Linked DNA regions of Rattus norvegicus. The protein of the gene in region 4 interacts with the protein of the main gene of each other region in a pairwise test. Links are inferred from orthologs where the notes say so. Each region holds a gene or a part of one and is shown on either strand. Other genes may lie near its edges. The genes, in order: Mal, Leprotl1, Cyb561, Eda, Dolk, Pln and Emp3.

What was found.
Region 1: the proteins of Eda (region 4) and Mal interact in binary tests that used the Homo sapiens proteins (3 or more experiments, as listed by UniProt). The two-hybrid records come from large-scale screens. The link is inferred for Rattus norvegicus from reciprocal best matches to the Homo sapiens genes EDA and MAL.
Region 2: the proteins of Eda (region 4) and Leprotl1 interact in binary tests that used the Homo sapiens proteins (3 or more experiments, as listed by UniProt). The two-hybrid records come from large-scale screens. The link is inferred for Rattus norvegicus from reciprocal best matches to the Homo sapiens genes EDA and LEPROTL1.
Region 3: the proteins of Eda (region 4) and Cyb561 interact in binary tests that used the Homo sapiens proteins (3 or more experiments, as listed by UniProt). The two-hybrid records come from large-scale screens. The link is inferred for Rattus norvegicus from reciprocal best matches to the Homo sapiens genes EDA and CYB561.
Region 5: the proteins of Eda (region 4) and Dolk interact in binary tests that used the Homo sapiens proteins (3 or more experiments, as listed by UniProt). The two-hybrid records come from large-scale screens. The link is inferred for Rattus norvegicus from reciprocal best matches to the Homo sapiens genes EDA and DOLK.
Region 6: the proteins of Eda (region 4) and Pln interact in binary tests that used the Homo sapiens proteins (3 or more experiments, as listed by UniProt). The link is inferred for Rattus norvegicus from reciprocal best matches to the Homo sapiens genes EDA and PLN.
Region 7: the proteins of Eda (region 4) and Emp3 interact in binary tests that used the Homo sapiens proteins (3 or more experiments, as listed by UniProt). The two-hybrid records come from large-scale screens. The link is inferred for Rattus norvegicus from reciprocal best matches to the Homo sapiens genes EDA and EMP3.

The regions. Positions count from the first base shown.
Region 1 is NC_086021.1:135,320,924-135,324,423, forward strand, and holds part of Mal (myelin and lymphocyte protein), read right to left. Parts: intron 2,574-3,500; coding exon 2,448-2,573; intron 2,010-2,447; exon of another isoform or gene 1,432-2,009; intron 1,205-1,431; exon of another isoform or gene 1-1,204. UniProt on the Homo sapiens protein: May be involved in vesicular trafficking from the Golgi apparatus to the cell membrane. Plays a role in the maintenance of the myelin sheath, and in axon-glia and glia-glia interactions.
Region 2 is NC_086034.1:64,750,648-64,754,147, forward strand, and holds part of Leprotl1 (leptin receptor overlapping transcript-like 1), read left to right. Parts: coding exon 1-60; intron 61-828; exon of another isoform or gene 829-2,699; coding exon 2,700-2,886; intron 2,887-3,500. UniProt on the Homo sapiens protein: Negatively regulates growth hormone (GH) receptor cell surface expression in liver. May play a role in liver resistance to GH during periods of reduced nutrient availability.
Region 3 is NC_086028.1:91,385,637-91,389,623, forward strand, and holds the start of Cyb561 (cytochrome b-561), read right to left. Parts: upstream 2,801-3,987; 5' UTR 2,782-2,800; intron 711-2,781; exon of another isoform or gene 573-710; intron 1-572. UniProt on the Homo sapiens protein: Transmembrane reductase that uses ascorbate as an electron donor in the cytoplasm and transfers electrons across membranes to reduce monodehydro-L-ascorbate radical in the lumen of secretory vesicles.
Region 4 is NC_086039.1:69,117,391-69,121,619, forward strand, and holds the start of Eda (ectodysplasin-A), read left to right. Parts: upstream 1-1,429; 5' UTR 1,430-1,604; coding exon 1,605-2,000; intron 2,001-4,229. UniProt on the Homo sapiens protein: Cytokine which is involved in epithelial-mesenchymal signaling during morphogenesis of ectodermal organs. Functions as a ligand activating the DEATH-domain containing receptors EDAR and EDA2R. May also play a role in cell adhesion.
Region 5 is NC_086021.1:33,955,142-33,959,152, reverse strand, and holds Dolk (dolichol kinase), read left to right. Parts: upstream 1-1,472; 5' UTR 1,473-1,732; coding exon 1,733-3,343; 3' UTR 3,344-3,511; downstream 3,512-4,011. Other genes in the region: nucleoporin NUP188, read right to left, coding at 1,293-1,324. UniProt on the Homo sapiens protein: Catalyzes CTP-mediated phosphorylation of dolichol, the terminal step in de novo dolichyl monophosphate (Dol-P) biosynthesis. Dol-P is a lipid carrier essential for the synthesis of N-linked and O-linked oligosaccharides and for GPI anchors.
Region 6 is NC_086038.1:33,178,994-33,182,493, forward strand, and holds the end of Pln (cardiac phospholamban), read left to right. Parts: intron 1-1,066; 5' UTR 1,067-1,174; coding exon 1,175-1,333; 3' UTR 1,334-3,248; downstream 3,249-3,500. UniProt on the Homo sapiens protein: Reversibly inhibits the activity of ATP2A2/SERCA2 in cardiac sarcoplasmic reticulum by decreasing the apparent affinity of the ATPase for Ca(2+).
Region 7 is NC_086019.1:105,525,466-105,529,558, reverse strand, and holds the start of Emp3 (epithelial membrane protein 3), read left to right. Parts: upstream 1-1,293; 5' UTR 1,294-1,333; intron 1,334-1,342; exon of another isoform or gene 1,343-1,450; intron 1,451-1,490; exon of another isoform or gene 1,491-1,573; intron 1,574-2,104; 5' UTR 2,105-2,263; coding exon 2,264-2,341; intron 2,342-2,553; coding exon 2,554-2,656; intron 2,657-3,119; coding exon 3,120-3,260; intron 3,261-4,093. UniProt on the Homo sapiens protein: Probably involved in cell proliferation and cell-cell interactions.

The DNA.
Region 1 (3,500 bases), on a different chromosome or scaffold from region 4:
GAAGCCCTTTCCTGTGATCTTCTGCCATAATTGCCCACCACGGTGAGAAACCTCCTTTGTCAACTTCCATCAACTCCAGAGGGTTTTCTGGCAAAGGAGCTCCACTCACTGCCACCAAAGGTCAGGGTGAAAAAATCTGAGCTTCAGAAACAGATCCCAATTAGGACCAGAGAGGGGAGCATGAGGCAGGCCGGCTGATGTACAGGAGGCTCCAAGATCAGGTGTCAATTTCCCATGGATCAATCCGGAGAAGACTGTGAATTGAGGTAGCTCTACTTTGAATCTGGTCCAAGTGCCACTTTATTGGTTCCAGCCCAGTGCCCCTAACAAATGAGAACCTCTGGTTTTTGATTCTAGCACACCTGACTGGCTGGGCATGCGCATGTCTATCCAAGCCCCAAAAGAAGATGTGGGGATAGAATCAGCTCTGGAGTGGATAAGTAAATAATGTGAAAGGTCTACAATGGAGTACTATACAGCACCATAAAATGCAATCTCCATCTCCATCCAACCACACTGATGACTCTCACAAGCATAAGGTTGAAAGACAGACAGATAGACAGACAGACACACAGAGAGAAACAGAGACAGAGAGAGGCTAAGCATAAAAGAATGAGCCTTGCATAATTCCACCTCAAGAGATGGGCAAAACTGAATTGGCTCTCTCTCTCTCTCTCTCTCTCTCTCTCTCTCTCTCTCTCTCTCTCTCTCTCTCTGCGTGTGTGTGTGTGAGTAGTAGTATTCATAGTTGTAGTAGTAGTAGTAGTAATTCTGGGGATTGAATCCAAGGGCTTGAACATTCCAGACAAATGCTCTACACTGACATATACCTCAAGGCCTATGTCCTAGTTCTTTAAAAAACAAATTGTTGAAAGTAAAAATATCTGTGTTTCTGAGGGAGGGTATGTGCATGTGAGTGCAGCGCCCATGGAAACCCAAAGAGGATGCTGGGTCCTCTGGACCTGGGGTTATAGGCAGTTGTGACCCACTGGATGTCATGCTGGGAATGGAACTCTGAGAGAGCAGTATTCTTTCTCAACTGCCGAGCCATCTCTCCAGCCCCAAGTGTCTTATTTCTTAATTATAGGAGCATTCATCTTCTGAAAATTCATCAGTACATCTGCTTGAACCTGTGCACTTGTCTGGGTGAAGGGTGCTTTTTGATAAAAAGTCAGAGAGGAAAGTTGGGCTGTAAGAGAGCCAGGTAGCGTTCAATCTGTTCAGTGGGAAGGGATTTTAACCCCATCTTCCTACATGTTTCCATCATGTACTGACTCAAACCACGTCTAATCTACAGCACACTGTTGTCCTGAAGACGTTTAGGGGAATTGTTGTCAAATGCTTGGATTTCTGTGAACTCAGAAGTCTTCTGAGTTAGGGAGGGGGAGGTCTAAGGTGCTTGTCCGATGGCAGATGAAACTGTCTCTATAGATGGCAGCAGAGAGGATGGATCTATGCTGTTTTCTGGAAACTCCATGTTGGGCAGTGTTCCGTGGCGTAGGACAACTGAAGAGGACAGGAACAAGATCCTCAAGGTGGCCAGGTTCATGTAAGTTGCTTAAGGGGACATGCAGCTTCTTTAGGGTTGCACAGTGTCCCATAAGGATGATGCTTTGAGGAACTTTCTGCCCAGACTTTCCCTCTAGATCCAGGAATAAGCACACCACCCAACACCCATCCCTGTGGACTGCACCCAACCTCTGTTCCACACTTTGAGCAAATGACACGGGTGCAGGCGTCTTTGGGATTGGCCTGATGCACAGCTCAATTTCTAGAAGCTGGAGAAGCACCGTTTCTAACTTTTGATCCTCATTTTTCATATGTCACCCATAGTTAGAAATAAGTTTTATATTCATGATTCTGAGTTAAGTGCATCAATGTATTGCTCCAAGGGTACCTACCACTCAGAAAAACATCTTTCTGAAATAACACAGCCTCTTGCTCCTTGTCATTTGGATCTAGCCCATTAGAAAGAAAACCCATTAAAAAAAAAAAGAAAGAAAAGAAAACCCATCCTTTCCTCAGTGTTCCTTGTCTTGACTGAATGTCTCTGTGGAAATGCTCAAGGAAGGTATGAGATCCAAGTGGCCAAACTCACTGCTCGAAACTGATACTAAAAGCCTGGGTAGGTGGTCAAGACCTTGGCTTTGACCCTTGCCTATTGTGGAAACAAATTCAGGCTGCCCGTCCATCTGTGATGTGGGTGTGACAATATCTCACAGGATTGCTAGTGAGGGTCAGATAAGAACACTTGTTGGGTACTTAGTGGTAGTCACCCCTCAGATGTCCACCCATGCACAGCCAGTCTGCCATGAGCTCCTGTGTCTACTGAACCTTGGACCATGCATCCCTGAGAAGACAACCAAGGGACTTTATGTCTCCTCTCTACAGCAGGCTGTGAGAGCCGCTTGCTCCGTGTGCTGCAGGGCAGGCCGCAGTGAACTTACCACTGCAGCGATGTTCTCATGGTAATGCCTGTAGGTAAAGCCATCGAACATTGTGATGGTGGCCAGGGCTTCCAGGACTGAGGCACTGAGGTAAAACAGGGCAGCCACACAGTGGTAGGCTGCATCCTGTGGAGGAAAAGGGTTGTGTCAGAGATGAGAAGGAAGAAACACCCCAACCTCGAATTACCTGCTCCCATCTTTGTTTCTGACCACTGCCTTTGAATCATACCCATACCCCTTAAGTCTACCAGCTTAATCGAGGTTTGGGGGCTGTTTGCTGAGTTTCCTTTCCCTGGGTAGATCACACAGGGAGCCCTTTAGTGGAAGAGGATGCTGTTTTCTCTGAGGTTATTACAGAGGGAGAGTTTATAGTGTGTGCTGATTGCTCTTCATTATTAACTTGAAAGGTTAGAAACTTCTCTGAGAGACACCTCTGGGTGTGTCTTTGAGGGTGTTTCCACAGAGGCTTAACTGAGGACGGATGACTCACCCTGAATATGAATGGCACCATCCCATGGGTTGGGGTCCCAGACTGAACAAGGAAGAGAAAGCTAGCTGAACACAAACATTCATCCTTCTGCTTTCTGATTGCTGGCAGATGAGATTAGCACCTCACCTTTCCTGCAGCTAACCCTTGCCCACCATGTTGGACTATACCCATAAACCATGAGCCACACAAACCCTTCTGTAAACTATTTTTTATCAGGTATTTTTCCATAGCAACAAGAAACAGAACAAATACAGGATTACAGGTAGAAATAAAAACTGGTTCTGGACCCCAAGACAACTGCCCATGCTACAGTCCTGGCTTGGATGCAGGCTCTTTGTCCAGGGAGAGAAGTCTGGGCCATTTCCACTGCTTTCATTTTGTTGTGTTGGTCTTATTTATTTCTTTTGGCTCCTGGTATATTTCAAAGCAAAAAGGAACTACGACAATGTTCTGTGTGGCTGTAATTTGGAAGTGATTTCAAAAGTTCAAGTAGAAAAGCCAGGGAGAGGTATCAGTCAAGTGGCCTGACCCTCCTTGGTTAATAATAAGCAAATCCCCTTGTA
Region 2 (3,500 bases), on a different chromosome or scaffold from region 4:
CTTTGGAGGAGCTATCGGACTGATGTTTTTGATGCTTGGATGTGCCCTTCCAATATACAAGTATGTCATTTTGTTTTCTTTTTGAATGCTTAAAAGTAAAATTCTTCTACTAAAGTGTTTAGCATGCTTTGAGTTCTACCATACAAGAAATGCCGGGAAACATTCATTTACTGACATGATCCTCTTCTGAAGATCCTCACTTACAGTTTACTTGTAAAGACTCTAGAATGCCAACGTAGAGAGAGGTTTGGCTGTGACCTGCTTCTGTAATGACCTGGTGACAGAAACTCAGTCCTGCTGCCCTCGATAATCCTCCAACAAAGCCTAAAGCGTCCTTTACAGGAGGCAACACAGGCAGCTTCTAGACCCAGCTCTAGGTAGTTGCTTCCCCTAGAGTGGGAAGAACTTTCTATTGAGGCATTGTCTCCCTGGGTAGCCCAGGCTAGTGTCATTCAGTCAACCCACTCCAGCCTTCAAGTTCTCGAATTCCAGGTATACATCACTGTGCCCAGTACAGAAAACTTTTTAAATTAATATTTAAGGAACTTAGTTTTCAAAAACTGAATAGAAGTGGGCCACAAATCGCAAGAGAATTGTGCCGCTAATAAGCAAGTGGAAACATACCAAATCCCACTCAGTACTACATGAAATCCACTAGCAAAGGTAAAGGAAGTGGGCGGGCACTGCTGGGTTCTGGCAGGCTAGGACTAAGCGGGCAGGGGTTTAGAAAGGGAGGAGTTGCCGTTTCTTGGAACTACTTTGCCTGTATCCTGTAGTTCCTTGAACTGGCCCTCCCCTTCTTAGAAATCCTCATACAAATCCACTTACAGTTGCTTGCAAGACACACAGAGTTGGGTGAGAATATTGCCGAGTAAATAGCAAAACATACTATTTTATATATAATACATGTAATAGCAAAGCTGGAAAACTGATGACATCATAAATGCCCATCCACAGCTAAATTATGAGGTGAGAGATGGTGTAGTGGATAGAACACTTGCAGTAGAGACATGAGGACGTAAGTTCAAATCCCAAGACGCTGTGTACTAGCCCAGTGTGGGAGCACACGTCTGCAATCCCAGTGTCCTGAGGAGAAGAAAGTGAAGACAGAAAGAACCTGTGAGCGCTGCAGGCCAAGGAGGCCTAGCGTGCACATCAGCAAACACAGACGCTGTTTCAACAATGCAGTAGGTAAAACTTGACCTCCAGGAGTCTTCTCTGACGCCCACACTGTGTACATGAACACACATTCACACGTGTAAAGTGTAAAGTGTAGAGGCTGGAGGGTTAACGCAGCTAGGAAACTGCCTGCTGTGTAAGGGTGAGGGCTGATTTCAAAACCCCAACCCCGGGGCTGGGGATTTAGCTCAGTGGTAGAGCGCTTGCCTAGGAAGCGCAAGGCCCTGGGTTCGGTCCCCAGCTCCGAAAAAAAGAACCAAAAAAAATAAAAAAAATAAAACCCCAACCCCTCCTGCAGAAGCAGAGTGTAGAGAGCTAGGGAGGCGGAGAACTCGATGCCTGTTTATTTGGCAAGCCCCAGGCCGTTGGGGTCAGTTCCTCAAACAGAAGTGGAGCAGCAGCCACGGTTGTTCCCTGGCCTCCATAACGGTAAACATGCACACACACCAGCACAGTGGAAACATGCGCACCCAGAACAAATGACTGGGTGTCTTTGTGACAAGATGCTTAGCCTTAAGCAATGAGGAAGGACTGTAAATCTATATATACATGGTATTATGTAGAGTTTCACCATGGCTAAATTTGTGTTGGAAGGATGGCTCAGTGCTTCCAGAGGACCTGGGTTCATTTCCCAACACCCACCTGCCGCCTCACAACTATCTGTAGCTCCAGTTCCAGGCGATATGCCACCCTCTGCTGGCCTCTTCGGGTACTGCATGCACGTGATACACGCAGTCATGCACAACACTCAAATAAAAACAGATCTTCCTAGCCTGGTGTCAGTGCGTGCCTTGAATCTGCACTGGGAGGCAGAGACAGGCAGATCTCTGCATCAAAGGCCGCCCTGATCTACAGAGCAAGTTCCAGAATAGCTAGGGCTACACAGAGAAACCCCAGTCTAGAAAAATGAAAACAAAACAAAAAAAAAATCTTTTTTTTAAAAAGAAAGCATAACAGATAGCTCTAACAAGTCTCCACTGTGTCCGTAATCAAGCTTGCCGGCTTTAAAGGCCTTTGTTTCTATAGACTGTTGAACCATCGCAAAGAGGTGGATCCTTTCACACGGCTTCTTCCACTGCACTTGCCAAAGCCAGAAAGTGACATCGGCACAGCATGGCTCACGATGACAGACTAAGCCTGTGGTTTTCAATACTGTCTTCTGTTACCACCTATACTCGGGTTTCAGTGAGAGGAATCATGGGTGCACTAACATTACAATAAGACACCAATCTTTAAAAGATTTTGTGTAAATGTCTTGTTTTCAGTATGCCTTCTTAGAAGCTAAAGTGAATGTCTTGAGGGGGCTTCAGTTCACAAAGCATTTTGTCAGTAGACATTTTTATTCTTGTGCCGTAATTGAACACAGGGCGAGCTGACCGCGCTTCCCACATGAGCCTGCGGGTTTGTTTTCAAGGGCATCTTGTTTGCTCTCTTGTCCTCTGGTCTACAACAGGAGCATAGTCAGTGTTGGAAGGCGACACGGCTGACTGCACGGCCACTGACTCCGTTTTCTTTTCCAGCCAATACTGGCCCCTCTTCGTTCTCTTCTTTTACATCCTCTCGCCCATTCCGTACTGCATAGCCAGAAGATTGGTGGACGACACAGACGCCATGAGCAACGCTTGTAAGGAGCTCGCCATATTCCTCACCACAGGTGTCGTCGTCTCGGCCTTTGGGCTCCCTGTAGTGTTTGCCAGGGCACATCTGGTGAGTCACCATGCTCCGTGAAGGCTTCTATACCAGAGATGAGAGGCGTTATGTCAGATTTGCCAGAGCACATCTGGTGCAGAGTGAGGTGAGAGATGTTAGGATGGAGAGGGCGCTTTAAGACCTCAGCTTTCCATTGGTTCCTGCTGTCAACTGTCGGAGGGCGTGGCTTGGGTCTGTAGCAGAAGGGCACAGTAACTGTGCTGTGCATCCTTGGACCTGCCCTGTAAAACCGGAAACCAGCGCTTCTCCGCCCTCCTCATGCAGCGACCCTTTAATACAGTTCCTCGTGTTGTGGTGACCCCAACCATAAACTTATTTTGTTGCTATTTCATAGCTGTAATTTTGCTTATGAATCATAACGTAAATATCTGAAATGCGGGATATCTGAAATGCTGCCTGGTTGAGAACCATTGACGTAGATGTGTGAGAAGTTAGTTTATCCTCTGTAGCTGGGAAAGTGTGAAAGAGGAGAAAGGGCAGACTTGCACCCAGAGTCACACCTCCAGCTCTGGAAAGGTGGAGAGAAGGGTGGAGTCTAGCTCCACTCCGTGTGGTAGAAGCAGTCATTCCCTCTGCCCCATCAGAGAAAGCGCAAGTATTGTTTCCCTCAT
Region 3 (3,987 bases), on a different chromosome or scaffold from region 4:
CGTTCTAAATGTGCAAAAGCTGGAGTCACAGAAAAGAAAGCAGTGCCAGGCACCTACAATCCCAGTACTCAGGGGCTAAAGCAGGAGGACTGCAAGTTCCAGGCCAGCCTGGGCTACACAGGGAAACCCTGCTTCAAAGACAAAAATTATTGACTTCTCCTGTGCCTTACAGATACTCAGGAATCCTTTAATAAAAATGGGTGCCCCCAAGGCTCTGGACAGAACTGCTCTGCCTGTGGCAAGCCCAGATCTGTGAGCTTTAAAGGGGGTTCTGGATTGTTCCTTTGTAAGCATGTGCGTTTGTATCATGGTCCCTGGTCACCCCTACAGTGAGAATGCCCTACCCTTCCCTGCTAATGCAGATGCTGTCACTATAGGCTGTTCCTACCTCTGTGTTTCCAGAGCACAGTGGTGGGTTATCGCTCCTCAGGCTGGAAATGGCCACGCTTGACCCTAGGTTTCCTCTGCTCCCCCAGACCTGTGTTCTCTCTCCTTTTCCCTCCCTCTCCTTTCTCTCAGAACATGATCTCACAGTGGAACCCAGGCTGGCTTCTAGCTCGACATCTCCCTACCTCGGCCTCTTGACACGCCACACTTAGTTCAGAGTTTTGTAAGGAACTGGTGCTCACGTGGCCTCTCACACGGCTGCTCTCCTTTCTTTCTGAGAGTTCGGGGTGAGGTGACAGATCTCTGGGCTGTGACAGTCAAGTAGAAACAATCCAAACTCCACAGGCCGCCTGCAGACTGGCTCCGCTTAATGCAATCACACAAGGACATAGCTACCCTCAGGGCACAACCTGTGCCTGGCTACCTGTGCCTGTGCCTCTCCAAGCCCATTGTGTTTTATTAAAAGGCAACCAGGCCTAACCTCATTATTGGTACCAGATGCACAAGCTGGACAACCCAGGGGGCCGAGCGGAGCGCAGGGAAGTTGCAGGGCAGCAAACCTGCCTTGGCCACAACCCTCCCTATCAGCAGCAGGCTTTAATTGCGTTAGCAAAGACTGGTGGGGGCAGGGATTAGAGCTTCCTTTGATGGGTAGGACGTGAGAAGACAAAAGGCAAAAAGAAGCTGGGCTGTTGGAGGGGGCACCAGGGTGCGCCAGGAAAAAAAATCACCATCAGGTGTGGCCTCTGTACCAGAACTGGCCAATAGTAAAAAAGTAAAAGAGTTTGTAAAAATAAACATCATTAAATATCATTATTTAATTTTTATGGAGAAGGGCCCCATGAATGTCAACACCGAAGGCGTCTAAAGGTTACAGCGCAGCCTGGGCCACAAAGATGTAATCCAAAGTGTGTTCCCCTATTTACTACTGTGTACAATCAGGGAGGTCTTGTCCATTCTCTGAGCTGGCCTCCTCAGCCATGGTGGGGGAGGGGGAGGGACCTTATTGGACTTTGGACAAGTAAAATGGGGAAAATATGCACAAGTGCTTGGCACAGTGCCTGCCAATGAAACAGCAGTTTAACAAAAATGGTATCTCCTTAACGTCATAGTGGCGTCAACTGACTCGTGAGGATGGGGCCACAAAAGAGCCGGGGGTACCACAGTACAAACCCCTCCTGCCCACCACCAACCCATTCCCCCATAGAATAAAAACTTCTAGGGCAAGGAAGACTGTCGGTCTGCCTTTAGTTCTTATTTGCGTGGGAGTGAGAGGTAGGGGGGAGGCTAAATCCGTATCTCCCTCTGTAGCCCAGCTGGCTTTAAACTTTCGGTCTGCCTCCGCCAGCCTCCCACATTCTAGGATCACAGCCTCTTGTCCCCAAGGAGGGACCTAAGTGGTAGTTCTAATGGTTGGAATTTTATATTCCCACTCGTACTCCAATGAATTGTGAGTTGATTAGAAAATGGAGCGTGAAGCCTGGCGTGGCATTTAATCCCATCATTCAGATGTGACTGTGAGTTCATGAAGCCTGGGCTCTGCCCACCCAGGGACTGCGGCAGGGCAGGGCATCTGTGGGCAATTCTACTTCTGGTTCCAGGAGCTCCTCCTACAAGGGGTGGGGTTGGAACCGTCCAGTACTTTCCCCACCAGATCCAAGTGCTGAGGAGTGATCAAGGTATTTAAGGGAGGTGAGAATACTTTGCCTTTTGTTTTGCTAAGAACAGGACAGAATCCAGGTGCCCGAGACGGAACTCTTCCTAAAGAAAACTGCCAAGACAAAAAGAGGAAGGACATGCCAAAAGGGTCTGTGTCTGCTGATGCAGCGCGGGAGGAAAGGTAGTAAGGGTAAGAGAAGTGACCGGAAAGGGGAGGTGGCCTGGCTACCACTCAGAGGAGTCAAAGGCGGCAGCAGATCCCTCTCTCCGAGAAGTTCCACACCTGCGTCACTTCCAAGGCCAAAGCACGGAGCCAGGCTTTCTGCCAGTCTAGTAACTGGTAATCCTGCCTGAGGACGGTGGGATACGGGAAAAGATCCACCAGGCCCGCACCTGAGCGCAGGAACCAGCCTCGGGGACAGTGGCTGCAGTCGTGGCGAATGCAGTTTGGTCCACACCCACCCACTTTGTTCTACAGTACAGCCACAGGCCCCTAGACTTGAACTAGGGTCACCAGCAGTCCCCATTCTAACTCGGGCGGACGCGACCCGCGCTCCCCCGGCCGCCTTCCCCGGTGCCAGCAGCAGGAACCCCCGCGTCAGGGGACAGGCGGGGCAGTGCCCCGGTCGATGCGGGCAGGTGCGCGCGAGAGGGCGGCTCGAAGCCCAGCCTCTCCTGGCCCCAGTCTCCGCCGCCCCTCCGCGCGGAACTTGTCCCCGCCGCCCTGTCGCCTACCTGGTCCCGCCGCCGCCAGGCCTGCGCGCGTCCCCGCGCCACGCCGCGCCGCGCCCCGGCCGCTCGGCAGGTTCCACGGGCCTCGGCGCGACGGCGTCGCCATGGAGACCGTGCGGCGGCGAGACGCCGGCAGCGCGCGCGAGGAGGTGACCGTCACCTGCGCCGGAAGTGCCGCCTGGCGCGGCCACTCGGGAGGGCACCGCGGCTATACCGACCCGCACTCCCGACCCGAGCTCCAGCAGCTTCGGGACCGGCGTGCGGAGAAGGCTAGCAGCGCGGGTTCGGCGCCCGGGTTCCCGGTCATTTAGCCTCTCGCTCTCTACTCTCGCCTCGCCAGAACCCAGGAGGCCGCTAGGTGTCAGGCCCGGCCTGGGCCCCAGCTCAACTCGGGGAACCCAGGGTCACCTCTCCCAGCCCTCGTGGGCGGGGAGGGCACTTTACATTTTACTGGAAGGCTGGGAATAACCCTGCCCTTCCCGCCTCTGCACACCCACCAGCCACATCGACACTGTTATTGGTACAGTTTGCCTCCCTTTTTTTTTTCCACTCCAGGATATAGACAGAGACAGAAGAGACACCAATCTAAGGGGTAGATTCAGTCCTTCCAACTTTTCATTTAAGGCCTAGACCTGATGTGCCAAGGTCTGTACTTAAGACTGTTGCCAAGAGCAAAGCTGGGAGTTTAGCAGATCCTGGCCCGCTATTCAGGAAATGCTACGGGTAGATAAGCGCCCAGCTCAGACTTCCTACAAGCTGGGAACAAAAGGTTCTTTCCTGTTGGATGTTTGGCCAGACTCACAAAGAGTGGGAGAGAAAGGGGGTATTTTACCTTGTGAGGAAAGCATGGCTATAGGACAGCCCTCCCCCACGAAGGCAGTAGCCCTGTGCTGGGAGCGCCCCACAGGTAGAAGACAGAACTGGGGAGGGGGTGCCTTCTTAGAGGGTGAGTGTGCTGTCTAGTGTACGGTTGAGATAGAACCAAGAACCGGAATTACGTTAAGGTAACTCTTCATCCGACAGAAGCTAATGGACATTTTAAGGTAAGCAGCTGCTTCCTTGGTGTGCTAACCGGCAAACAGCAGGCAATAAATACATGCTTATAAACTAAACATGGAGCTGAGCCATTTCTCATTGTTTGGTGGGTGTATTTGGGCTTCTGGGAGGAAAAGGAGGGACCGATTTGGCAAGATGGAATCTTGTTTAAGT
Region 4 (4,229 bases):
TCTTTGTTTTTCTTCTCCCTTATCAGCCTACGTCTTAGGCCTAGCCTTAAGTGTTCTGGTGCATCACCGAGCCTTCTCAGTGGCTTTTACTATACTTGCTTCAAGTTAATAAAAATGGATAATTATTCATTTCTCAATTACACGGAAATGAGAGTACCTACTGGCTAAAACAGTGGATGCTTGTCCTGCTACAGCTAGTTAGCTCTCTAAAATCTGAGACTACTAATGCTTGTCAATTGTGACTCTTGACAACTAATCTTTTCCATCCTTCATTTCCAGGTCTATTGTTCTGACATTTGCCATTTTTCCCCTCTGACCCTGTTTCTGATTGGTGCAGCTTTTGAAGATGCTGCAGTTGCAGCAGTGTACATCTGGAACATTTGGCTGACTTGTTGAACTTACCCCAGGGAGTACTCCAGGGGAAGCATGGGAAGGGTGGAGAGGCCAGAACAGTTGCCTGTGAGTACAGATGCCATTAGTGTCTGGCCATTCTGTGGACCACCCCTGTAAAAATTCACCTCATCATGACCCTCAGTTTCCCCACCTGCTCCTCGAAGGCTCGAGTTCTTCCAAAACTTCTGCAGCCCTGGAAGAAGACAAACTTTTGGCTGCGGGTTCTCTCACACAGCACTTTCTGCACTGAGAAAGGGATCAATGCATATCTTTTGAATGAATTAATATATCAAGAAATCCTAGGAAACCGTTTTAGCCTTCAAGGGACAGCATCACTTCAGTTTTACTTGGCGCTAGGCACCCTCTCTATGCTCAGACTGTGTCCCAAGACTCATTCTGGGAGTGGGGCAGCCAGGTTCCCAGTCTGTTTGGCTCCCAGGCTCCTAGGTCTCCTTTTCTTCTGGCGAGCCATTGAATTGCAAACACAGCAGGCATGGTTTCATTCCAAACCCTGAACTGTTTTAATTAGTTTAACGTCTGTTAAACGCTTTGAAGATTGAAAGCAACAGATAAGTACTGGATGATGTTATTAGCAACTGCAGTTAATTGCAAACATTTCTATTAATGCTAGTTTCTGCCTCCTTTTCTTTGCTCCACGTTCTTTCCAAGGTTCCCAAATTCTTCTCAGCCTCCCCCTCCCGCCCTCCCCCATAGCGGCGCTGAAGGGTTAAACCGGGGTGGAGTCCAAAGCTGAACGACAGCCGCACTCACCAACTGCAACGGGGCAAGCGGGAAGAGCTGGGTGGGGCTGCCAGGCAGAGGTGAACCCCCACGCCCCCAGGCCCCGCCCCACGGCTGGAGGCCCGAGTGGAACGGCAGGGGGCGGGGCGGCCAGGCCTGGCGGGCCCGTGGTTGGGCGTCCCGGCCGCCCCTTGAGGCATGGGGCGGGGTAGGTGAGGACCTCCTCCCTCGTTCCCTCTCGGGCCGCGCCGCCCCTCTCGCCCGCCCCTCCTCCTCCCTTTCCCACCCCTCGGAGTGGAGCTGCACATGCGGCTGCTCCCTGTTCTGTCCCGCCCAGCCACCGTCGCTCAGGAACGGGTCCCTGCAGCCCCCAGCCGATGGCAGGACAGTAGTCGCCTGTCAGGGGTCGTGAAGGACTGAGGCAGAGGCAGTGGCTCCCGGGCCTCAGATAGTGGTTGTCTCTGGAGGCCATGGGCTACCCTGAGGTAGAGCGCAGGGAACCCCTGCCTGCTGCAGCGCCAAGGGAGCGGGGCAGCCAGGGCTGCGGCTGTCGCGGGGCCCCTGCTCGGGCGGGCGAAGGGAACAGCTGCCGGCTCTTCCTGGGTTTCTTTGGCCTCTCGCTGGCCCTCCACCTGCTGACGCTGTGCTGCTACCTAGAGTTGCGGTCCGAATTGCGGCGGGAACGGGGAACCGAGTCCCGCCTCGGTGGCCCGGGTGCTCCTGGCACCTCTGGCACCCTAAGCAGCCCTGGGAGCCTCGACCCTGTGGGTCCCATCACCCGCCACCTCGGGCAGCCGTCCTTTCAACAGCAGCCCCTGGAACCAGGAGAAGATCCACTCCCCCCTGACTCCCAGGACCGGCACCAGGTGAGTCACCTAGGAGGGGCGGCGGCCTTGGAGGCCCCCTCCCCTGCTCGGTTGGGCGGGGGCCTGGGCCTCAGGGCTCAGGGGACTCTGCCACTCAGAGCCAAGTTCCAGGCAGGAGCTGGGAGTGGGCCAGAGTGCTGGGGAGAGGTTGTCCAGGGCAGGTTGTCCTCGGTTCCTAGCTTGGCTCATCCAGACCCTCTCGGGTCCCGTGGAGTTGGAAAGCCCAGCCTGCACGCGCCGCCCCCGGGGGGGTGTGGGCTGCTTCGCGAAAAGTTGGCCTGCCTTGCACCCATCCGGGCGCGGAGGTGTCTGCGCCACCCCCGTGGCCGTCTAACGGCGAGCAGCTTGGCCCCTCGTGCCCCCTGGTGAGATTCTCTGCCCGTGGTGCTTGTTTCTTCGTGTCCCGGGCTGATTCCAGCACTAGCAGGCTCCTCTTTGGAGTTGGAGCTGTAAACAGCTGTACTAACTGTTCCACGCCCGTTGAAACAACTTTTAACCGTACTTTCAGCGCTGGCTTCTTGTGCGCTGACCAGGACCTGAGCTTTTTCACCTGCAATTTGAGACCGATTCTCCTCTGCGTTCTAGTGAGGATCAGTGCCCCTGAGGAATTCTGGTAGAAATATGCCGTCTTGCTAGACAACTTCTGAACAGCAATTTGAAAAATCTATGGAAATAAAACTCACCCTTTGCATGCCGGTTCTGACACTCTTGTGGATGGAGTTGGGTGCAGTGGGTGTGAAGAGTTTTCATTAATGCTGCCTTTGGAACAGGAAGTTGGATTTTTGTTTTGCTTTTGATAATCTTTAGAGTGTTTGTATCCCTTTTAGCAAACCTTTATCTTGGTTGTTTTTCTAACTCGTTATTCAAGCAAATTTAGTGTACTTGATATTAAGCCTTCTTGTGGTTCCCATAGATGTCTCACACTTGAATCTTAGGCAAAGCATCCAAGGATCTTTTTGAGGTGGTTAAAGACTAATGGTGAATTTGTAACTTCTGGAGGAAACGGCAAGTTGTGTAAGTAACTTACTTGAGGTGAGGCAAGGAAGCCTTCTGTATTTGGTGCTACATACATAGTTATTGTCACAACTCTTTAAACAGTGTTTGTGCTACTTTGACTTAACGGGTTGAACACTTTTAGAGCCATCACATTCATAACAATACTCTGTCAGGACTGACACTTTTCTTTCCTTCCATTTCCTTCCTTTTCTTTTCTTTTACAATGTGCTTGGTAAAATTGCCCCAGACCTAAAATGTCAAAGACACTCAAACTTATTTAACAGCTTATCAAAGAAGAGAATCAGCAGACAGACGTCTCATACTTGAAACTTTAAACACTGGGGCTAAAGGAGAATTAATTGAGACTCTGGGTCTTTTATTTGCCCCCCCCATCCCAGTAGAGGTACTTAGCAGCTCCACATTGATATTCTGCACATACATATATCCATGCACACATACATGCATGCATGCATGCATACATACATACATACATACATACATACAATCAGGAAATTTAACTTCTTTACTCAAATGGTGCTCAAGGATTTTGAGCAATCAGGAAAGACAGAGCCCTGTTTATAGATTGGCAGGACAGCAGCATTCTAGCTTCTGTGACGGCATGGGACTCACAGCTTTGCAATGCCGTTCGGTTGCTTGCCCCAGGTGTAGCAGATATGCTTACGTGTTTCAGCACAGCTTCCTCTCTGCTGTCCTTTAGTCTACTTTAGTCTTTTGGGGCAATCAAAGCAATACTAGTTCTTTACATTTATTAGCATTAATTGGAATTTGTGTTTTCCAGATTGTAAGGTACTACCTGAGTCTATTTTACTGATTCCTTTGGAGAACATACAGGCCTCAAGGGAGAAGTAAGTGGCCCAAGATATCATAGCCTGAGTCAAAACTAGGATGAAGGTGCTCTCCCATCTTCCAGTTTAGTACACACCCCTCCATAATATAGTGTCTGCTGAGAAGGTTTTTTTTGAAGGGGGGGGAATGAAGGGACAACAGGTTGGAGCTCCATAGTAGGCTTTTTACAAAATGAAGGGCTCAGATCTGTGTCATTTTGTTCTGCTCTAATTTTGGGAAGACTAAGTTTAACCATGTATTCCTTATTCATCTTGAATTTCACTTTCAGGAGAATTTTAGCTCACTGAAGGAATTTTATCGCAGATTCAACTTATTTCTTTTGACAATATTAGCCTTAGCATGTAAACAAAGAAACAAACATATAAA
Region 5 (4,011 bases), on a different chromosome or scaffold from region 4:
ATTTTTTAAAGTTTTCATACAAGTATTTCTCCATAGCTGTGGATACAAGGCCTAGCATGAAACAACAGGGGGAAGAAAACCAAACTGGCCCCCACAAGAATCACACTTTATCCACAGAAAACTCCAAAGAAATTGCTGCCCGTGGACGGTGAAGAGGCTACTGTAGAGAGAGATAGGCAATGTGATATTTACATGTTTGTCTGGGTGTTTAAGGGTTCAGCAGGGAACAATAGCAAATAAAACTAGCAGAGTCAATTCCGGGCAACAGGGAATGTTTACATTTTAGGGGAGGAGGAGAGGTGAAGACACTTCTCATCTATAACGTGGATACATACAGAGGGCTGATTAAGGCTTTAGAGCCTTCGATCTGAATCCTCATGGGGATTATCACGAGGGGCAGACGAGGGGGACTGACTATGTATGAACTGGACTTCTTAGTCCTGTGTAACAGGAGGTGCGTCTCCTAGTTGTGGGAAATGAATGAGATAAGGCCTGCAAGGCACTTTCCCGGGGTCTGGCGCTAGTAAGCGCTCTTTAAAGGCAAGTGGGGCTCTCGCAATCCATGTCTGTAATTTCCGCACCAAGGAGGCAAAGAAAACAGGGATCTCAAGGCCTGCACGTGATACAAAAGATCTTACCTCAAAAAAGAAAAACAAGAAAGAGAAAGGAAAAGAAAGAAAGAAAGAAAGAAAAGAAAGAAAGAAAGAAAGAAAGAAAGAAAGAAAGAAAGAAAGAACGAACGAACTCCGTGAGAACTATGTTTGTTTTGGGGTAATTCATCTTGTGTCCGAACCCTGGCACAGTACCCGGAATCATTTGGAAGATGAAGGCATGCCTGCTGATTGAATCAATATCAGCATTAGTCAAAAATAAAAGAAGGCGGGAACTAAGGATGCTCGCGGGAAGAACTCGCGGCGTGGGCAAGGCACACCCGAGGCGGTGCAGGGCACAGGGACAGCAAGGCAGGGATCGCGGTGGGGTGGATCTTCCAGAAGACCCCGAAATATCCCGCAGTGCCTACAGGGAGCGTAGTGCAGGAAGCGTGGGTGTATGGGGAAGACAGGAGGCATAGGGACCACGAAGAAAGGAGAGCGGCCGGCCCGCTCCAAAAAGTGTCCTCAGCCCCGCGAGCGGGAACGGTTTGGACCTAACCGCCTCCCCGGCAAGTGTCCGTCCACCCAGCCCGGGCCCGTCTCCGTCACTGCCGCTGGGTCCCGTTTCCAACTCCGGCCCAGCTCCCACCCCGCGCCTCACGGCCACCCCCCACCCTCTCGCTGCGCCCCACTCCGTACCTCACACACGGCCCACCGGCGGCAGCCGCCATCTTCGCGCGCGCGTCCCAGCCCCGCCCCTATACGCTGCACCCACGTGACCGTGCGCCGCCAGACCGGGGGCCTGGGTTTTCAATCACGTGGTGGTGGGCGTGGCTAGGAAGGGGCTGTCAAGATGGCGCTGCCCTGGTGTGAGGCGAGTCCGCGGCGGTGGCAGTGGAGCCTGTAAGAGGTGAAGAGTGCAAACATCTGCTACACCGTAGGTTGAAAGCGGTGGAGGGTGACTGGGCGCCGGCTCCCAGGCCTCAGAGTGGCCCGCGGTGAAGCACTCTTTTGGAAACTGGAGAAGGTCGCTGCCTGGGTGAAATTGCTGCCCCTCAGCTTGGCGGGTTGAGGGCTCCAGAAGCCAAGGCGTCCCTAGTCACCAAGCTTCTTCTCCCAAGATACCCAGGCCTAGAGACATGACCCGACAGTGCCCTCCCCAAGCCCCGGAGTCTGGGTTTGCGCTGAGCGGGTCAGTGCTGGCGGAGGCTGCAGTGGTGTTCGCAGTGGTGCTGAGCATCCACGCTGCAGTGTGGGACCGATACTCCTGGTGCGCCGTGGCCTTAGCAGTGCAGGCCTTCTACGTCCAGTACAAGTGGGACCGGCTGCTCCAGCAGGGGAATGCTGTTTTCCAGTTCCGAATGTCCGCGAACAGTGGCTTACTACCGGCCTCCATGGTCATGCCTTTGCTTGGGCTGGTCATGAAGGAGCGCTGCCTGACTGCAGGGAACCCATACTTCGAGCGCTTCGGCATTGTGGTTGCAGCCACTGGCATGGCAGTGGCCCTCTTCTCCTCGGTGTTGGCACTGGGCATTACTCGCCCGGTGCCCACCAATACTTGTGCCATCTCGGGTTTGGCCGGAGGTATTATCATTTATATTATGAAGCACTCGCTCAGTGTGGGCGAGGTGATCGAGGTCCTGGAAGTCCTGCTAATATTCGTTTATCTCAACATGATCCTGCTGTACCTGCTGCCCCGCTGCTTCACTCCTGGGGAGGCACTGCTGGTATTGGGTGGCATTAGCTTCGTCCTCAACCAGCTCATCAAGCGCTCTCTGACTGAAAGCCAGGGGGACCCAGTGGACTTCTTCCTGTTGGTGGTGGTGGTGGGGATGGTGCTCATGGGTGTCTTTTTCAGCACCCTCTTTGTCTTCATGGATTCGGGCACCTGGGCCTCTTCTATCTTCTTCCACCTCATGACCTGTGTGCTGGGCCTTGGTGTGGTTCTGCCCTGGCTGCACTGGCTCATTCGTAGGAACCCCCTGCTCTGGCTTCTTCAGTTCCTCTTCTACACAGAAACTCGCATCTACCTCCTAGCCTATTGGTCCTTGCTGGCCACCATGGCCTGCCTGGTGGTGCTGTACCAGAATGCCAAGCGGTCATCTTCTGAGTCCAAGAAGCACAAGGCTCCTACCATTACCAGAAAGTATTTCCACTTCATTGTGGTGGCCACTTACATCCCCGGTATCATCTTTGACCGGCCACTGCTGTATGTGGCCGCCACCGTGTGTCTGGCCGTCTTCATCTTCCTGGAGTATGTGCGCTATTTCAGAATCAAGCCCCTGGGTCACACTCTGCGCAGCCTTCTGTCCCTCTTCCTGGATGAACGGGACAGCGGGCCCCTCATCCTGACGCACATCTACCTGCTTCTGGGCATGTCTCTTCCCATTTGGCTGATCCCCAGACCCTGTGCACAGAAGGGCAGCCTCGGAGGAGCAAGAGCCCTGGTCCCCTATGCTGGGGTCCTGGCTGTGGGTGTGGGCGATACTGTGGCCTCCATATTTGGCAGCACCATGGGGGAGATCCGCTGGCCTGGAACTAAGAAAACATTCGAGGGAACTATGACATCTATATTTGCACAAATCATCTCTGTGGCTCTGATCCTAATCTTTGACAGTGGAGTAGACCTGAACTACAGCTATGCTTGGATTTTGGGGTCCATCAGCACTGTGTCGCTTCTGGAAGCATACACAACTCAGATAGACAATCTCCTGTTGCCCCTCTACCTACTGATTTTGCTGATGGCCTAGTACCGAATAGCAGCTGTAATGGGGGAACGGAAATTGGGAGAATGAATGGTCCTCACAGCAGCTAGCCGCTTGGACACCAAGAACTAAGGGATGAAAGGCAGATTTAGCTTCCTCCCAGAAGATGAAGCCAGAAAGTTGATTCAGACTTAAAATAAAGAAGCAAAGCTTTCCTGGTTTTATTGTTGCTGATATTTAAAATACAGAAAAAGGCTAAAGGCATACACACCAATTCAGGGAAGTTGAATGTGCTGCAGAGCCCCCATTTTATAATCTGGGTAGGGCATGGCTGGAGCACACCCTGGAGGCAGCAGAACAGAAAGCTTAATGCTTGGGTATTCTGTGTCAAATAAATCTGATCAGAATCCTTGGCCATACAGCTTAACTGTATGGCCTTAAGAGAGTCTAAGCCTCAATTGTTCTGTCTTTAAGATAGGAATAATGACAGGCTGACTCTCTGGATACTGGAAGTCTTTATCGAGAGGAGCTGTGTAAAGTATCTAAAGTATTCAGCCTGGGTGACAGTGAGATGGCTCAGTGGATACAAATACTTGCAACACAAGACTGAGGACCTGAGATTAATACCTAGAACCCCCACAAAGGTGAAAGGAGAGAACTGAGTCCACAGACTTTTCTTTCAACATTCACATGGGCATATTGGCTCTCGCACA
Region 6 (3,500 bases), on a different chromosome or scaffold from region 4:
CTCAATAAATCAGACCTTGTTGTCTCTAGACAGTAAATAACTGCACTTTATTTTATATTCTTGTTTTAAAACTGATTGTAAACAGTATTCTTAAAAAAAAAAAAAAAAAAAAAAAAAAGTACCAGCCCTGGGAACTCCTTCACTCAGTCAGCAAAGGCAGAAAGGAGGCCTCCAGTTTGAGGCCAGTCTGTTCTGTGTAGAAAGTTTTAGGCTAGTCAGGATTACCTAGCAACACCCTGTGTCCAAACAAATAAATAAATAAAATGTTAGTGATAAACAATAATAATCTCGAAGTCAAAGCAGCCGCTGCCTCTAGACAGCTCACTGGTTTATTTTAAACCTGTACTAATTTTCTGTTAATAAGCTTTATTTGGTCAGCAGTGGTTTAAGAGCTTGGGGAGGGGGGGACACAACCCCACCCCTGGCCATCAGGATTAGCTGAAAACTGGAACTGTCTGGGATAGTTCAGAATCATAGCCCTTACTGTGCCTCCTCCCGAGCTTGGCGGTCTTCAGCACTTGACCACCTTGTTGTTTAGAGTAGCACTAACCAGGAGGCTGTACCTGGGAGGAGTCAGGAGGATATGTATACGATTAAATGCACTGTGTGATTCCACAAAAGCATAAACCATAAAGGAAAATGGCAAGCCGCTAGAACCTGTTTACTTCATATTTAACTTTTCACTTAACCATTTTATTTCAAACTAAAACTAAGATCCAAGATATAAGTTACTATATGCATCTTGTTATGATTAGTTCCGAAACATTTATAATAATAAATGTTCATACCAATTGTGTTTACAGAGAAACAGTTTTAAAAAAAAACAAACAAACAAACAAGGAAACCGTCCCAAAGAAGCATTCCATGAATCAAGTAATAGGTGCCAAACCTCCAGCCCCTCCGCTCACCCAGGACGAGTGCTAACATATGAGAGGAGCAGAGAGGCTGGGGCTGTAGACAGTGATAAAATACAGCACTGAGGAACATGAACCGGTACAAAACTGCATATCTATCCAGAGAATGGGTTTAGTATGAACCTAATCCTTTTACTATTTTTACATTCCAGGCCTCCTAAAAGGAGACAGCTCGCGTTTGGCTGCCTGCTGTCAACTTTTTATCTTTCTCTTGACTACTTAAAAAAGACTTGTCTTCCTACTTTTGTCTTCCTGGCATCATGGAAAAAGTCCAATACCTTACTCGCTCGGCTATCAGGAGAGCCTCGACTATTGAAATGCCCCAGCAAGCGCGTCAGAACCTCCAGAACCTCTTTATCAATTTCTGTCTCATCTTGATATGTCTGCTGCTGATCTGCATCATTGTGATGCTTCTGTGACAAGCTGTCGCCACCGCAGACCTGCACCATGCCAACGCAGCTTACAACCTGGCCCTCCACCACGAGGGAGGCAGTGCCGCCGCCTTCCTGCTGGACATCGTCGTGAAGGTCACGATTAAGAGTGAGACTGATGGCAGCCAGTGTGATCATCGGCTGGATCTTGTAAACTTTACCACGACTAAGTGTGCACAATGTAGCTGCCCGTTTCCTCAGTGTGGCTCATAAATGTCTTTCCTAAATACTTCTGACATTGTAGTATGAGTTTTAATTTTGAAACAGCACTACAAAAAAAGTTCACTTTCTATATCCAGCACTAGAAAGTTCAACTTATAGCTTCAGTTTGGGGAATAAATGAAATTTAAACTGCGTTGCCACCACTTTTTTTTTATAGGAACTAAATATTCTTCAGGTCTGCACAAAGTAGAAAATAATAATTTAAATGAAGTGTTCTTATTCAAAATAGCTCACTGGGTCCTCATATAGACGACGATGACGATGACCATGACGATGACAATGATTCAGAAGTCATGGTCATTACTGTCAGAACACATACCTTGAAAAAAGGTTGTGCCCTTTTTCTAAACACTAATTATTTTTAAGCTTATGAGAGTCAAATAGGGAAATGTAAAAGCATATTCTCATATAAAAATCTTCACTAATTTTTCCACTAATTGTGGAATTCAAGCACATTTACATTAACCACAAATGTGCTCTCTCTAGGGTTTGACCAGCAAGCAAGAACATCTTACTGTGTGGTTGCGATAATCACTAAAACATCAGAACCTCACCCGAAGGTTGGCTTGGCACAGATCTCCTGGGTTGTGCCGGGCTTCTCCAGATAATAAATGATAACAACAAACCAGACAGCTGTGCTGGGGTACAGCTCTCTTCCTGCATCCCCCAGAGAGGAGAGGCTTGCTCTCCTAACTTAAAAACTAGAGATTCTATTTTACAATCCTTACTAATCACGGTTTCAATTTCCCTTTCTAAATTCCTAATATCTCTCAATAAATACTAAAAGATTAGGAGCTAAAAACTGTATTGGAAAACATTCACCAAAATTTAGTTAACTTAAGTTATCCAATACAAAACAGTTCACACCTCTCCTGTGCACTCCCACAGTTCACACCTCTCCTGTGCACTCCCACAGTGTTAAGTCCAGCTCAAGGCATTCTACCAACACAGCAGCTATTAGGAGAGTTATAATTAGATATATTTTCCATAATGATTACTACGAAGATACGGCGCATCAGTATTCACCTTGGTCCCTAACAGAGCAGCTGAAGGCATGCTGATTCGAACTGTTTGAATCCCTGATAGAAAGGAAGATGTCTGGTTTCAGAAATTATCCAAAGAGTAGCCCACAAAGGAGTCCCACGTTAATAGGCGTCTCTTCAGAAAAGGCTGGGGGTGAGGGTGCCCATCACAGAAACTATAAAACATGGATGACATAATCTCTAAATCAATGTTCCCTTTGTGATGCTATGACCCTTTCATATAGTTCCTCATGTTGTGGTGAAACCCAACAATAAAATTATTTTTGTTGCTATTCCATAACTGTAATTTTGCCTCCACTATGAATTGCGAATATTTGTGTAGACAAAGGTTTGCGTGAGGGGTTGCAACGCACAGGTTGAGAAGCACTGGTGAATGGTCTGCGGAATTATGTACAAGTGCATAAGTTCGTAGTTGCCATGCTGAGAGGAAAAGGAAGGTGAAAAGCGCCTGGCCCTTTACATTCTCACTACCACACCAACTGTCAACTCATAAGTTCTTCTCATCAAACATTTAATGTTTAATGCCTTTTACATTTCAGTAGTTAAATGTTTATCTATAAAATGCAATAAGAATGGCCTATATTCAGATGGGATTATGATTTTGGTGCAATTGCTATACAATTAAATGCTATTACTATAAAATGTTGTCATTATAAAGAGTTTTGTGTTGTAAAGGGCAGAGTGGGGGGCACTTTCCCCAAATAAAGTAGAAATCAAGATTTCCTAAGACAAACATGAGAGGGTGGACGTACATACAACAGTACTGCTTAGCCTCTGGTTATTTTGAATCTTCTGGCAAAGCAGGAAAGCAATCAGTCACATTAGAAGATCTGGTTATATGCTATACCAGGTTTTTAATATCTTGAAAGTACATGATAATCCATATAGAC
Region 7 (4,093 bases), on a different chromosome or scaffold from region 4:
GTATGCCATCCCTCTTTTACAGATGAAGAAAAGCACGGAGAAGTCATCAGTAATACCCATGATCACATAGCCAATGAGTGGCTGCAAAATCTGTGCTGTGTGGTACCCAGCTCCCCATCTAATCACCAGTCTAGCTAGTCCTCACCTCTGCAGGCTTAGGTCATGACACCCATCAGCTCTGGCCCCATTGGATGCTCACACTTCTCATCATCCAGGTCCCCACTCCTAACTTCATCAGAACTAAGATTTGGTCCGCTACCAAGGGATGCAGATATACTCGTCATCACCCACACCCGCTAACTCAGTGCCCTGAGAATAAATTATAATAGTTCACACTATAACCCTGGGACTAGAGTGCTGTGAAAATTCTAATGGCCTCCCACAGCACTTACAGTAAAATCCTGATTCCTCCATGAATTTCCAAGTGAATCCTCTGATGTCCCACTCACCACACCCTAGGCTCCCTGTGCTCCAGCCACACTGGCCCTTTTGTCTGTTCTCCAAATAGCACAGGTTTCTTCTCTGAGCCTGGGACATTTTCTTTTCTCCCTAGTGTCCAAACAACTCAGGTCAAATATCACCTCCTCCAAGAGGCTTTCCAGGATTATCCTTTTTTATTAGCATCTGCCCACCTAGTCATTATTGCTATCACTCTATTTTCTTTACTGTGTGTGTGTGTGTTATACCCACTACACAGATTAGCAAACTTGAGGCCCAAGTGAGTGAAATAATCTATCCCAGGTCACACGACCTACAAATAGCAACATTGGCATTCTTAAAGGCATTCATTAAAATCCTGCCCCTTTCCATAGATGTATACTTTTTGTCCTGCCATGAGTCGGCCCAAAGTTTGATCTATGTCACAGGGATCTGGTCTTCTCCAGATTGCTTGTGTCATCTACTCTGCTCCAAACTTCATCAAAGAGAGCAGGCATCCAGTTCAAGGAGGTAACATGTCCCACCCCAGAGCCCCAAGGACTTCTCATCTGAGTCCTGAAAGGAGGTCCCAGAACATGCCTACTGTGTGACTGGGTGGGCAGAGAATAAGGAACCAAGAATTTGTGCCCTCCCCTGACTGGAGACCTCAGCTGGGCGAGGCTAAAGTGGATATAAAAGGGTTGGGATATATTGAGATCGAGAGAAGCAGAAAACCACCAGAGGAGAGAGAGAAAGGGAGGGAGGGGGAAAGCAGAGGGAGAAGGGTGGGTATTAAGGGGTGGAAGGAAGGCGGTGAGGGAGGCGGGGGCCTCAGAGTGGAAGGAGGGAGCAGAAGGGCGGGGCAAGAGGCCCAATCGAGGACAGACTCCAACTCTGACTTCTTCAGCGACTCTCGGTAAGTTTTCAATCCGTTATTCAGATGGGACTTTATTTACTGGGCAGCATGGCACCATGGGTGGGGCACCTCAGGCAGGAAGAAGCCCTCTGCTCTTAGCTCCAGAGGAGAAGTCTGGTAATTGAAGAAGTGATCTTGGCAGCCTTTGTGATAGGAATACAGGAAGGGGTAGGGCCGCCCATGAGACTTGTGGTCCCAGCAGAGCCCACCATGAAGAATGCCCTGTGGCTTCTCCCTGAGGTCTTCCACTCCCGCCTGAGGTTAAGGGGTGCAGGAGGGCTCCCAGGGCTGGCTGAGTTCTCTGGACACTGAAGGGTGGTAGGAGGTGGTCTCTCCACTCAGACCTCACCCTCCCTACTTCAAATCCATCTCCCTGAGTGTCCGGAGCCTCGGGTCTGCAGTCGGGTTGGGTGAGGACCACAGAGACTCAGCCAGGGGCTGGCATTTCCCTGGTGCTGGAGGGAGGAGGGGATGAGTCACCCATGACTCACCCCAGGAGAAGAGAGTGAGTGAGTGAGTCAAGGATGCCTGTCCTGGGGGCAATTCCTGCTCCTGATGGATTGGAAAGGGTGTCAGTTTCAACTTTCATACGGCGACCCACATGGTCTAGAGACAGAGCTCTGAAGATGCCCCAACTCATTGTTAGTCCTGTTCATTCCCCTGTCTCCCAAAAGTCCATCTAGGATGCTCTCCAGTAGCACAGGAGTCCCGGGGCTTACCCTTCTCCCCAGGGAGGAACTGCTCAGCCTACTCCCTTTCTCCCTCACACAGAGACTTCCCGAACCAAGCCGTCTTTCCTCAGACCTTACAGTCCTCCCCAGCCTTCCTCTCTGACTTAGAGAGCCAGACCCCAGCCCTCTTCCCCCAGGATTGAGTGCTCCGACCCTTCGAAGGCTTGCCTCTCCTGCTCTGAGCCAGCATCTGGCAGCCATGTCACTCCTCCTGTTGGTGGTCTCTGCCCTTCACATCCTCATTCTTGTCTTGCTTTTCGTGGCCACTCTGGACAAGGTAAGCTTCCAGCTCACTGGGAACCCCAGCTGCAGCCCATCTCTAAGCCCCCACCTCCCTTCTCCTCCTCTTCCCTACTTCTCCATTGCCTGGGTCCTTTGCCCTCGCCTTGCCCATGCATTTGGCCCATCAGGTGCCTCCAATCCCCACTCTCCCTGACATCTTTCTGTCCTGCTTCTCACCTCACCCTCCCCGGTCTCTGTCCCCTCCAGTCCTGGTGGACTCTCCCAGAGAAGGAGTCCCTGAACCTGTGGTATGACTGCACGTGGAACACCACCGCTAAAACGTGGGCCTGCAGTAACGTCAGTGAGAACGGTGAGCATATAGTGGAGGGCAGGGAGAGGCCAGCCAGGACCAGGGTTGGGAGCCTAACCTAGGCAGTGAGAACCTGGGGCAGCCATAGGCAGCTTGTCTGAGTGGAGAGGCACTGCCTCTATTCTGATCAATCCAGAGAGGGTGGAGGCCACATGCTGTAGCTTAAGGAACGGGGAGAAAGCTCCCCAAGTTCTGAGAAGTGGAGCTAGCGGTATGAATGTGGGAGCCATTCATTGAACCTGCGGGAGAGTAGGGGAAGGCCAGAGTTCTAAGAGATGGAGTTGCCTCCCTCCAGGATTCTAAGTGACAGCCAGGGGTGGGGGGGATGCAGCTCGTCAGTAGGATGTTTGCCTGGTAAACCTCGTAATCCTTGTAACATGTTCATGCCTGAAGCTTGCCTGGCTGAACCTGGAGTGGGTAGAGTCTAGCCAGCTCCTGACCTCCCCTGTGTCGCCCCCTGTAGGCTGGCTGAAGGCAGTGCAGGCGCTCATGGTGCTGTCTCTCATCCTCTGCTGTCTGTCCTTCATCCTCTTCATGATCCAACTCTACACCATGCGGAGAGGAGGGCTCTTCTACGCCACCGGCCTCTGCCAGCTCTGCACCAGTAAGCACTTCCCCCCAGCGTGGGGGATGGAGGCAAGGAATGGGAGTAGACCACTCAAGGCTCAAAACGCAAAGCATCCTCAGGACCCCAGCCCTCTCCTGAGAGCAGCCTCTGTGACCCTCACCGGCTAGTGCAGCTACGGTTCTGAGAGGTTCTGTGGCAAGCCAGTGCTTGAGAAGTAGGATCTGGCAAATGATTTGGGTTCCAGGGATGGAGTCAGCTAAAGGACCCGCACACAAGGGGTTGGGGATTTAGCTCAGCGCTTGCCTAGCAAGCGCAAGGCCCTGGGTTCGGTCCCCAGCTCCGAAAAAAAAAAAAAAAAAAAGAACAACAACAACAAAAAAAAAGGACCCGCACATGAAATATTCTGAATCTTATCAGCCAACTGCAGTTTCTTGGGTACTTGTTCAAGGAGTTGATTTTTTTCTCTCTCTCTCTCTTCTCTCAATACTGGGGCTACAACAAAAGGCCTACAGCATGCCAGATGGGCTCTCATCTCTGAGGCGTGTGCCCAGCTCCACAGTGGTGTGTCCTGGGCATGGGTTCTCAAGCCTCTTTATTTTTTAATTGGAAATAAGTTTTGATAAATAGTCCTAGCTGGCCTTGAATGTTTTGTCCTCTTGCCTCAGCACCCTGGGTCCCACTTTTTTTTTTAAGGTCAAATAAATTGAAGCTTGAGGCAGTGGGTGGATGAAGAGGTCAAGAAGACCTGAAAGCACAACTCTATTGTTTTTGTTTTTTTTAATTTTTTGGCTCCAGGCTGCAAAGGGCTGAGTTAATCATGGTGGTTTTGGGAACATCTTCCTGGATTCCCAGAGAACCCCCCTCATTTT